Linked DNA regions of Drosophila melanogaster. The protein of the gene in region 1 binds, or shares a complex with, the protein of each later gene. Each region holds a gene or a part of one and is shown on either strand. Other genes may lie near its edges.

The links.
Region 2: ncm (region 1) and Prp38 share a complex: the UniProt entries of both Drosophila melanogaster proteins name them as parts of the spliceosome C complex.

What each region holds. Positions count from the first base shown.
Region 1 is NT_033779.5:18,443,973-18,450,785, forward strand, and holds ncm (nucampholin), read right to left. Parts: upstream 4,986-6,813; 5' UTR 4,883-4,985; coding exon 4,277-4,882; intron 4,121-4,276; coding exon 2,809-4,120; intron 2,745-2,808; coding exon 670-2,744; 3' UTR 535-669; downstream 1-534. Other genes in the region: bsf (bicoid stability factor), read right to left, coding at 5,662-6,203, 6,267-6,813. UniProt on the Drosophila melanogaster protein: Required for pre-mRNA splicing and for exon-junction complex (EJC) assembly. Hinders eIF4AIII from non-specifically binding RNA and escorts it to the splicing machinery to promote EJC assembly on mature mRNAs.
Region 2 is NT_033778.4:9,142,164-9,145,709, reverse strand, and holds Prp38 (pre-mRNA processing factor 38), read right to left. Parts: upstream 1,755-3,546; 5' UTR 1,583-1,754; coding exon 590-1,582; 3' UTR 559-589; downstream 1-558. Other genes in the region: CG30344 (uncharacterized protein), read right to left, coding at 1-123; shrb (shrub), read left to right, coding at 1,913-2,090, 2,474-2,651, 2,710-2,993, 3,055-3,095. UniProt on the Drosophila melanogaster protein: Required for pre-mRNA splicing.

The sequences.
Region 1 (6,813 bases):
TATTTTTTGTATCGGTGAAAATAAAAATGGAATTATAATATATTCATTATTATAAATGATAAATATTTATAAGTGTTAAAGACCTTATATAGTATATAATCTGGTAATGTTCGTCCGTCTGTTCGTATGAACGAAGTGAAATCAAGAATTATTACAAGCTAGAAGTTTAAAATTAAGCATACTTATTATAAAAACGGAAATTTTTTTGGAAGATGTCCCACAAACATCCCAAATCAGTTATTCTAACAGTTTTGAAAGAGGTTTTAATTAATTTTCATTTTATAAATTACCAATTCCATCAAATGCCAAAAATCTATTGGCAGTACACACATTTTGACCCCCACAATCCGCAAATTGCTGTCACGCCCACAATTTTTTTTTTTTATTTTAATAGAATTTTAAATTTATGTAGTTTGAAAACTTTTTTTTACCCTTCATTTAAATGTTTAGCAATTGTTAGTTGTAAGTTATCTAATGGATATTAGCTGCCTATCTATAAGTATCTCCGTTGTACAAAAAGTTACACAATTGGTTGAAATTTGCATTTGTACATTTATTTTTGTTTTATCGGTTTAGTGGGTTTTGCTTTGTACATGTGTAAAAGTAAAATATTTAACACAAATATTCATCTGCCTTTGTTGGTCACGTCACGTTGTCCAGTCTCCAGATTCAGCTGCGTCCCTTGGAACGGCGTGAGCTGCGCTCCCTTCGCGAACGATCACGGGATCCATCGTCACGCTCTCTTTTACGCTCCCGTTGTCCCTTCAGATCACGATCCCTATCCCGTTCCCGCTCCTTGGCACGACTGCGTTCCTTTTCGCGATCTGACCTCTCTCCACGATCTGATCTCTCTCCACGATCTGATCTCTCTCCACGGTCTGATCTCTCTCCACGGTCTGATCTTTCTCCGCGGTCCGATCTCTCTCCACGATCTGATCTCTCGTTTCTGGAGGAACGGTCACCACGACGACTGTCTTTTTCACTGCGACTACTCTCCATCCGCTTTTCGCGAGGAGCGGAGTTCTCTCTTATTGTTGGTCTTTCATAAGATCGTGATCGATCCCGTTTTCGTTGTCTATCGTGGGCAACTGCATTTCGGTTCTTCCGTTCTTTATCGTATGAACTCTCTCGGTTTCTTTCTCTGTCGTATGAAGAATTCCCCCGCTTTCGTTCTCTATCGTACGAAGAATTTCCCCTGTTTCTTTCTCTGTCGTACGAAGAATTCTCCCGGTTTCGTTCTCTGCCAGTTGAGTTATCTCTGCGCCTCTGGCCATTTCCATTCGGCTGAAAGCGATTTTTGGATCCAGGACCTTCCAAATTAAACTCATCACTATCTTGGGTCCTTCCTCGGAACTTATTTTTTTCGACATGCTCCTGGCGCTTGATCTTCGCCTGAGGCTCAGCGTCACTTTCATCGCTGGAAGAATTCGATGAGTCGGATGATTCGGAGGTGGACTTATCGCTGTCTTCGCTGCCACTGGAATCCGAGCTCTCTTGACTTTTTCTTCTGTGCTTTGATTTCTTCTTGGCAGCCTTCTTTTCCTCCTTCTTACGCTTTTTATCCTTCTCCTTTTCCTTTTTGCTCTTTCTTTGCTTCTCTTTTTCTTTTTCTTGTTCCTTTTCCGCCTTCTTCTTCTTCTTTTTGTTCTTGGTCTTTTTCGACTTCTCTTTAGTCGCTTTCTTAGATTTCTTTTTATCCTTGTCCTTGCGTTTGCGTTTCTTTTTGGGTTCCGAGCTAGAATCGGAGCTTGAAGATTCACTAGAAGAGTCGGAACTGCTGTCCTCTTCACTGGAGTCTTCGCTGTCCGTGTCCGAAGACGACGATGACGAGGAGGACGAAGATGGGGCCACCTTGGTGTTTCCAGCGGGTGCAGAGCCATCTCTGAAAGGATTCCCCCCGGCATTGGCCAGAATTTCAGCATTTATTGCGGGCACAGATTTGGGGGCGTTTTTTAGGAATCTTCTCAAATCGTCGGTGAGACCACCCAAACCAATCGAGGTGAAAAAGTTAATGGAGAAGCGGGTATTCCGTGGATTATCCTTGGGAAACAAACCAGCTATGCTCTCTACCAAAACATCATCCTTCAGCTTGGCATTCAGTTTGCCCAGTCCCATATACTCAGCTAGCTCCTGGAACAGGATTTTTATGAAAATGCGGCTCGATGACGTGGTATCATCCTCGTTCAGTTGGATGCACTCCAGCACATCCCAACTAATGGCGTCCGTAAACAGGAGATGGGCGAAGAACTTGCTGACGTTTCGCAAACGATTTGTGTCCAATCTGTGGGTGGTTTGATAGGTGTCCTTAAAAATCTCCTCGAAGGGCGGTATGTAGATCTTATTGATGTTGCAGAACCGCTGCGCCAGCAGTCCGTAGAACTTCTCGTATGTTCTCTGTTCCGCACAGCAATCGAGAAACATGTGACAGAGCTCGATTTCTTGTCCGGGTTTCAGTTGCATTTTCATCAGTTTATGAGCACACTCCTCATAATCCAAACTGGAGTTGATTGTTAAGTAAATTGTGCGTCGCAGGGCAATCAGATTGGTTTCAGTGCTGTCAATGATGTCGCCAGCCTCGGCTTTCTTTTCCGCATCGGATCCGGATTCTCCATCCGAATCACTATCCGAATCTGATCCGGAGCCCGAGCCTGAACTACTGCCATCGTCGCTTCCCAGGATCTCACGACTTAGGCCTTTGTATTTGTCCTCATTTTCGGCATAATTGTCGTCAAATTTAAAAACATCTATAAAGAAACGTAAAAATTATTAGAGTTCAATACAAACTAAACCTTTCGTAGATAAACTCACTTAGTATATCTTCCGTTTCGGTGGCTTCATCCAGCATCATCAGATGTGTGAACTGATCGTCCTCCTCAACGAGCTCCAGTTCCGGAACAACAGCCTGATGATCCTTAAAGCCATCCTTTCGAATCTGAAACAGCACCTCAATCATGTACTGTACACGCTTGTCCAACTTTCCCTCGTGCAGAATGTTTCTCAGCATCTCGAAGATGGCCCCAATGCCTTTAGACGAAACCTCAGTCAGTTTCATACCACACTCTTTCAGAAAAGCGATGGCTACCTCTACAGAATCGTCCGTTGGCGTTTCCACCAGCAGGGTAAGGATTTCTAGTGCCAGAATCTCATGTGCCACCCTCTGGTTAACCAAATGGCCAATGAATCGAGTGGCCGACATGCAAACCATCTTATCATTGCGTCGGAACGCCCTACGAAATTGGATGACCAGACGTTTGAGGAGGAGCTCTCCTATGTTCGGAAACTTTGAATTTATAATGCTCACCAGAGCGGCGTATACATGGGTGAATGTGGGCGAAGCAGCCTGGGCTTGGATGATGCTCCTGCTTAGTAAGCCCCTTCCCCTCACGATATTCTCTCTTAGAAGCTCTCTGGTGATGATGGCTATATTTGTTACATTCACTTTGTTTATGTAACCATGGATCGATTTCTTGAGAGCCTCCCAAGCAATTCTCTGATAGGCAGCGGATGATTTGTCCGTGATCTGTGACTGCATCATGCGCAGCTTCGCCGGCGGAATATAGGCTCCTCCAGTCCGAGATGTCAGCACATCGACGGTCTTTCGTTGGCGCTCAGTTATTTTGGCTGCCGGTTCGGTTACGGTTTCATTGTCTGCATTAGTTTCGGTGGTTTCGGTGTGGCGTGGGGTCTTTGAGGATTTGGATTTCGGAGTGGAGGAGGATCGATCTCTTTTGCGTTCTGGCGACCTCTTCTTTTCCCTCGAATCATCTCTACGCCTGCTGCTGGTTGGTTCGCCCTTTTGATGGCGCTTTTCTCGCTCCTTGGCTCGCTCTTCATCGCGTTTATCTCGCTCCTCATGACGTCTCTGTCGCTCAACGCGTCTTCTCTCCAAAGAATTGGATCTGCGGCGGATTGGACTTTTACTGCGACTCCGGGTCCTGCTGCCTTTGCTTCTCGAGCGACGACGACGACGGCTGCTGGGTGATGGACTCCTGCTGGATGAGCGTGGGCGTCGTCGTTTGCCATCCGGGCTGCGGCTTTGTTTTCGTTGGGTTTCTTTGGGTGGACTCTTAGATGCGACAGCTTTCTTTTCCTCTTTAGTCGGTAGGTCATCTTCGTCTTTCTAAAAAATGAAAATTTATCATATCATGATGATGAAAAAACTAGCTGATAAATGATTGTGTTGAATTAATTTCATTAATTAAATAATTTGAATTTCATTGATGACGAAATAGTAAAGCGGCTTAATACCGAATTCTACCCAAACATGATGACTTACGTCGGTTATCTCGCCCTCTTCGATGTGGTCCGCAGTGGGAGGTTTCACTGTTTCAGCTGCTGCTTCCACCGGCGATTCCTTGCTACTTCCATTGGTGGTCACTGGCTGCTCTTCATCCTTCCTCCGCTCTTCTAATTCCCGTGCAGCGTTTTCCTCTTGGGCCTTCGGGCTGTTCAGCTCTTTCGTCACACTTGAGGCTTCTGCTTCCTCTTTCCGCTGGACAGGTGTTTCAACTTTTTTCGCTTCATTTAATTTCTCGCTTTCCGCCTCCGCAGCTGCTACTGCTTCTTCTTGCTGCTTTTCCACGCCAGCAGAATGGGAAATGTGCTGGCGCTCCGAACGAGGCTCAGCCGCAGGAGTTTTCTTCTGCTCAGTGGGCTGCTCATCCTGTCCAGCATCCCTCTCCTTGGCACGCTTCTCCCCCCTATCCGTATCGTCAGTTTTCTTGGCATCTTTGGCGGATTCCTCCTGCTTTGCTTCCTCTTCCTCGCGCCCGCTGCTTTCGGAGGACGAGGACTCGCTCCTGGCGTCGCTGTCGCTGCCACTGGAAGTGTCGCTGCTGCTGGAATTGCTGCTCGAATCGCTCTCGGCATCGCTTTCCCCCATCGCGCGTTTATTTCGAGAAATTTTCAGGGAAAACAACGATGAAAATTATTGGGCAGCAAAAAACACAACGCGGCGATAGAATTAGAGATGGGACACCAGTGGCGACGGTATCGATATACACATGTGTTTGACTGCTAAATCGTATCGAAATTGTAGTTTCGATAGTCAGCTATAGAAATGCTAAATGTGTTTTTTAAATTGAACTGAAAATTTAAATTCAAGTTCCACATTAGAAAAAATGATATTTTAAAATTAATTTTATAATATGGCACTATCGTAAATTTTATAGCACAGCGAACCTCAATATTTAAGGGCAACGATTTTTTTACGACTAAAACAGTGTAATATATTTGTTATAACATATTTGGTTCATTGCACTGCAGAAATTTCGAATATCAGCTCGAAAATGGAACAAGGATATGGAACAAGAACATTAAATTTGAAACGAAACTTTTTTTTTTTAGCGATTTTTGGGCTCCAAAACGGGCAATCGTGTTTTACAACATCATGCGTGCTTCCAATTAATTTTAGGATCTGTCTTAAGGGAATGAATTGAACCATTATTTTATTGAAAATTAAAAATGATAGCTTCATCTTGAAAATAGTAAAAAAGATCCTTTATCGCTCAGTTGAATCCCCTAGAAAAATAACTGGCGCACTTTCGCAACAAAACAACTAAATTTATTTTAGTTTACAAATTGTTTATCCATAGTAAATACTTTAAAAATAAGCTTTAATCACGACGGCCTACACTAAACAAGGACCTTTTGCAGAAACCTCTAGGCCTTGCTGTCCGGTTTGGGTGGAACAGTTTCCGGTACCGATGGCGACACGTCGTCGTCGCTGGAGGATGAAGAGGAGGACGAGCTGGAGTCGTCGGCCTTCGTCCGCTTCTCGGGGATCGTGTAGGGGAACTTCTGGGATTTCTCCTCCACCGCCTGTTTCAGACGCAGCAGAGCTGTCCTGTTGATGTTTTCCAAGGATACGTCCTTAATGGCATTGGCCAAGACAACCATGGCCTTGTCGGAGTTGCCCTTGGTAGTCTGGATGTCAATGAGGCAGGAGTACGCGTTTCCGATCGCGCCCTCGGAGATTTTGCTGTTCTTCAGCTGGGAAATGACTGTGGAGGCGAGCTTCTCGTCCTGCTGCTCGCGAGCCGTCTGCAAAACGCGCTGGAACATCAGCCTTGGGGCATTGGACAGGTGCTTATCCCAAATCTCCTTAGAAGCCGCCTCCTGGCCAGTGGAAATCAAATGCATCCACAGGACATTCATGGGTCCTAGTTGATTGTGAGCAGCAAACTTCTCAGCGAGGGATTGATCTGAAAATTATCAGAAAAATTTATAGTTTTAACACTTGTTTAATAGGCATTTCTGGGACCTACATTGCGGCACCAATTCCGGGTGTTTTTCCAAAATGCCAACTGCTCCTCCGCGTGGGAACTTCTCAGCCAGCTTGGTTGACTCCTCGGGAGTTTTGGCCGCATCGATTTCTGTGGTCAAGTGCTTCAGGAACTCCTCCGCCTTTCCGGCCACTATATTGGCATGACAAAACCGATTGTCAAAGGAAATCAGACGCTTCTGCTCGTCATTCAGCTGCTGGCCAATTCTCTGCATTGTTTCCAGATCGCCTGCAGCGGCAATTTTGTTCAGGTAAAACTTGAAGATCTTGGGCTGCGGGTGCAGTTTATCGCCCAGGAGCTCCTCGACATACTTGGTGGCCTCCGTTAAGCGATCAGCTCGAACCAGGAGCTCGATCAGTCGAGAGGTGTCCAAAGCTCCAATTTTCTCGCCACTCAGAACACTTTGTTTATGCGAGATGGCTGCATCTGGATCATTGGCCTGGATTGCCTTGCGGAAGCCGGACAAATGGGAGGCGGTTTTGGGTGGCTTTGCTGTTTCCGTTTTAGCTGGCTCCTTTTTCGCAGCCTT
Region 2 (3,546 bases), on another chromosome or scaffold:
CGGTACCGGAGGCGGGTCCACCTGCTCACTGCTGGCCGCAGATGATGCGTCCAGTATGCGTGGTGCCGAATCTTCGCCAGTCTCCACATCGGCCACCAAAGCCTCCGTATCAGAGCGAGGCATACTGCCGTTCCGTTCCGTTCCTACTTGCTCGCTATCGAGAACGGAACTCGTGGATGCGTCTGGCTTACACCAGTCTACCGGAGATAATGGAATTTACAATTCATTCACCAGAACGCTGCGCAGTTCCCTGAAAGTCTTCCAAACGCGACGGAGAGTTTTCAGATACTAAAGCTTCAGCTGCTTTACTGCTGATTAACGTGGATTTATTGTTGCTTAAATCCCTGGTACGTGTATTATTTTCACAAGTACAGCTGGCTGGATTCTCCCGCAGTTAACGTTACTCTATTCGAAACTTTCTAAATGCAAGCAGCAACAGCTGATTGACTTCTTCTTCTTCTGTGTTATTGTTTTGATTTCGATTTTCGATTCTTAGTGCTAGGGATGCCAACTTGCGGCGAATTGAGAGTTTGTGGTTTAAATTTTCTGACACTTTTTACTGGTTAATTAATTCAATTTATTTATAATTTTAGTAGCGTCGTCGGTCACGCTCTCCTCGCGAGTCCCGTTCCCGCTGGTCGTGACGGCCACGGTCACGTTCTCGCTCTCGTTCCCTATCCCGGCGATCTCTGTCGCCGTCCCTCTCGCGCTCCCTGATACTGTCGCGATCTTGGCGCTCTCGTTCGCGATCGTGGCGTCCATTGTTTTGCCGACGGTCATAGTCCTCGTTGTGGGTGTCCCGATTGCGCACCCTATTTCGCTGGCGGTCGTAGTCTTCCAGTTCGTCGTAGTAATCCCGGGAACGGGCGCTGTTGCCCTGCCCAGATCTTCGCTCGCGCTCCCGACTGCGGGACCTTGACTTGGAGCGAACTCTCCGTGGTCGTCTCACTGCTGTCGAATTCTCCTTAGGCCGGTTGGTCTCGTCTGCCTTCTCCTCGTCGCTGGGCAGTTCGTCGTCCAAGTCCTCATCCAGCACTGACACCTTGGGCTCGATTTCGTTGTTTTCCTCGAGAATGGAGCGCTTCTGGATGCGGGGCAGTATAATGTCGCAGACACGGTCGTTGCGCAGCAGTTCGTCAATGTACTCATCCATGTAGACAATCTCGAACTGGCCGGCGCGATTCTGGCGGCGCAGCTTTCGATTGTCTATGTACAACGGCTCCAGGTACTTGTAGCAGTCCAGGGCAGCTCCTGTGAGCCGTAGATAGAAGGCTCCCAATGCTCGAACGTACTTGAACTCCTCGTTCTTGATAAACTCCACTACGATGTCCTTTTCCGGCTGAATCTGCAGCATCTTGAGTGTGAGGCAGAGGAACTGGGTGGGCTTGATGTTGCCGCCGTAGACGCCTCCGACGAATCGCAGCTCCATTGCCTTGTCCACCAGAAGCTCCGCAGTGAGAGCAAAGCATTGCTCCTTCCAGTACTTAGAGTCGTATATCCTCGAACGGATGATCTTCTCGATGAGGTACTGCGGATTGGTGCCGTGCACGTTTTTGGCCTCCTTCACCGTGCGGTTGGCCATTTTCAGTTGAACCCTTGTTCCTTGTCAATCGTAACTCAAATAGGACTTTTCAATCCAGAAATTCGGGTATCTATTGGCAGCAGTGCAAAATGTGAAAATGCACCGAATATATTTATTTATTTTTCGGCGTTTGCTAACCAGAGTGGCCAGCTGCGTAAGGGAGAAATATGCCACTCCGCCAAGCGCATACACAAAGGCGATAACGATAGGGGACGGCAATCGGTATCGGGTGACGCATACGAACAACAGCTCCCAGACAACCAAGAAACGCAATAGCAGAAAAAAACTCACTTGTTCGCTAAATTCGGGTGAAAAAACAGATCAGCCAGGATGAGTTTCTTCGGGAAGATGTTCGGCGGCAAGAAGGAAGTGGCCCCCACCACCGGCGAGGCGATACAGAAGCTGCGCGAGACGGAGAACATGCTTATCAAAAAGCAGGAGTTCCTGGAGGCCAAGATCGAGGACGAACTGAATATAGCCCGCAAGAATGCGTCTAAAAACAAAAGAGGTATGAGAGGAGTGCGCCGAGGTCCTTGGCTTCCTAGTTGGTCACTCAAATGGGCCAAGGGGAAATGACTCATTGCTTTGTTTTTGTTGCGGCCGCGAGGCCTGCTCCCAGTTAATCAGTATCCCATACTGCCAGCAAATAGAAAACTCAATAAACAATATGTATCTCTTTGCCTTTTCACCCGCATACCATTCGATGCCTGGACGTGTCCGCAAATCGCTCAGAACGTAATATAAACATTACTTTTAATACCCAAAACAAACTCAAGCCATGCAGTAGAGTAATTTCAAAGCACGCATTGCGAATTGGCCAAATCATATTTCGGATATATACATAAGCCAGTCCTCGAAACCTTCTAATTCCTCCACTTCTCACATTTTCAGTGGCCCTGCAAGCACTCAAGAAAAAGAAGCGGCTGGAGAAGCAACTCCAGCAGATCGATGGCACCCTGTCCACAATCGAAATGCAGCGCGAGGCTCTGGAGAGCGCCAACACAAACACTGCCGTCTTGACCACGATGAAGAATGCCGCGGATGCCCTCAAGAGAGCCCATCAGAATATGTGAGTCATGGATTTGTGCCATTGTATCAACCAGGAACTAACTTTCACTTTTATGCAGGGACGTGGACAAGGTGCACGACATGATGGATGACATTGCCGAGCAGCAGGACGTGGCCCGCGAGATTTCCGATGCCATTTCGAACCCAGTGGCATTCGGCGCCGATCTGGATGATGAGGATCTCGAGCGGGAACTCGACGAGCTGGAGCAGGAGAACTTTGATAAGGAAATCATTGGCATACCCGAGCCGACGCCCACATTGCCAGAAGCACCCACAGAAGATTTGCCCGAGAAGGCCAAAGAAAAGAAAAAGGCGACAACCACGACTGCCGTGGAGGATGATGGTGAGTTCAGTCACTGCATGTGGATCTACGTTTGGTAATTAACGATTAACTTGCGTTACAGATGATCCAGACATGAAGCAGCTTTTATCCTGGTCCAACTAAATCAGAGAGCTATTGAAATCTCCTTACTGTTCTGAAGATACACCCTATCGTTTTTGTTTAATTTAATAATCAATACTGCTGTTAATTAAGCAAAATTTTAGTTCGAAGCGAGGGAGAGAATACAAGGCATTAATTCCTTTGGCAATTCAACAAATGGTACATAAACTAGGAATGTGATTTTAAAATAAACGAAATAAGCATAGTCAGGCCTCACATGAGCAAAAGTAGGTATCAACGTAGTTTCATATTTGATTTGTTTATTTTGAATAACGCTGATTGGCCATCAGGTGTATGCAGATCTAATATTCCAACAAAGAAATGTAGCTTTTTGATAAAAACCCAAATATGTTTTGTGGCACTCATCTTTCCGCAGTCTTAGCTTTGTATCGAGCGATTCAAACGAAAATAAAAACATGAAGCCTCTCGACTGCAGGTAACTCAGTAGCCGCGA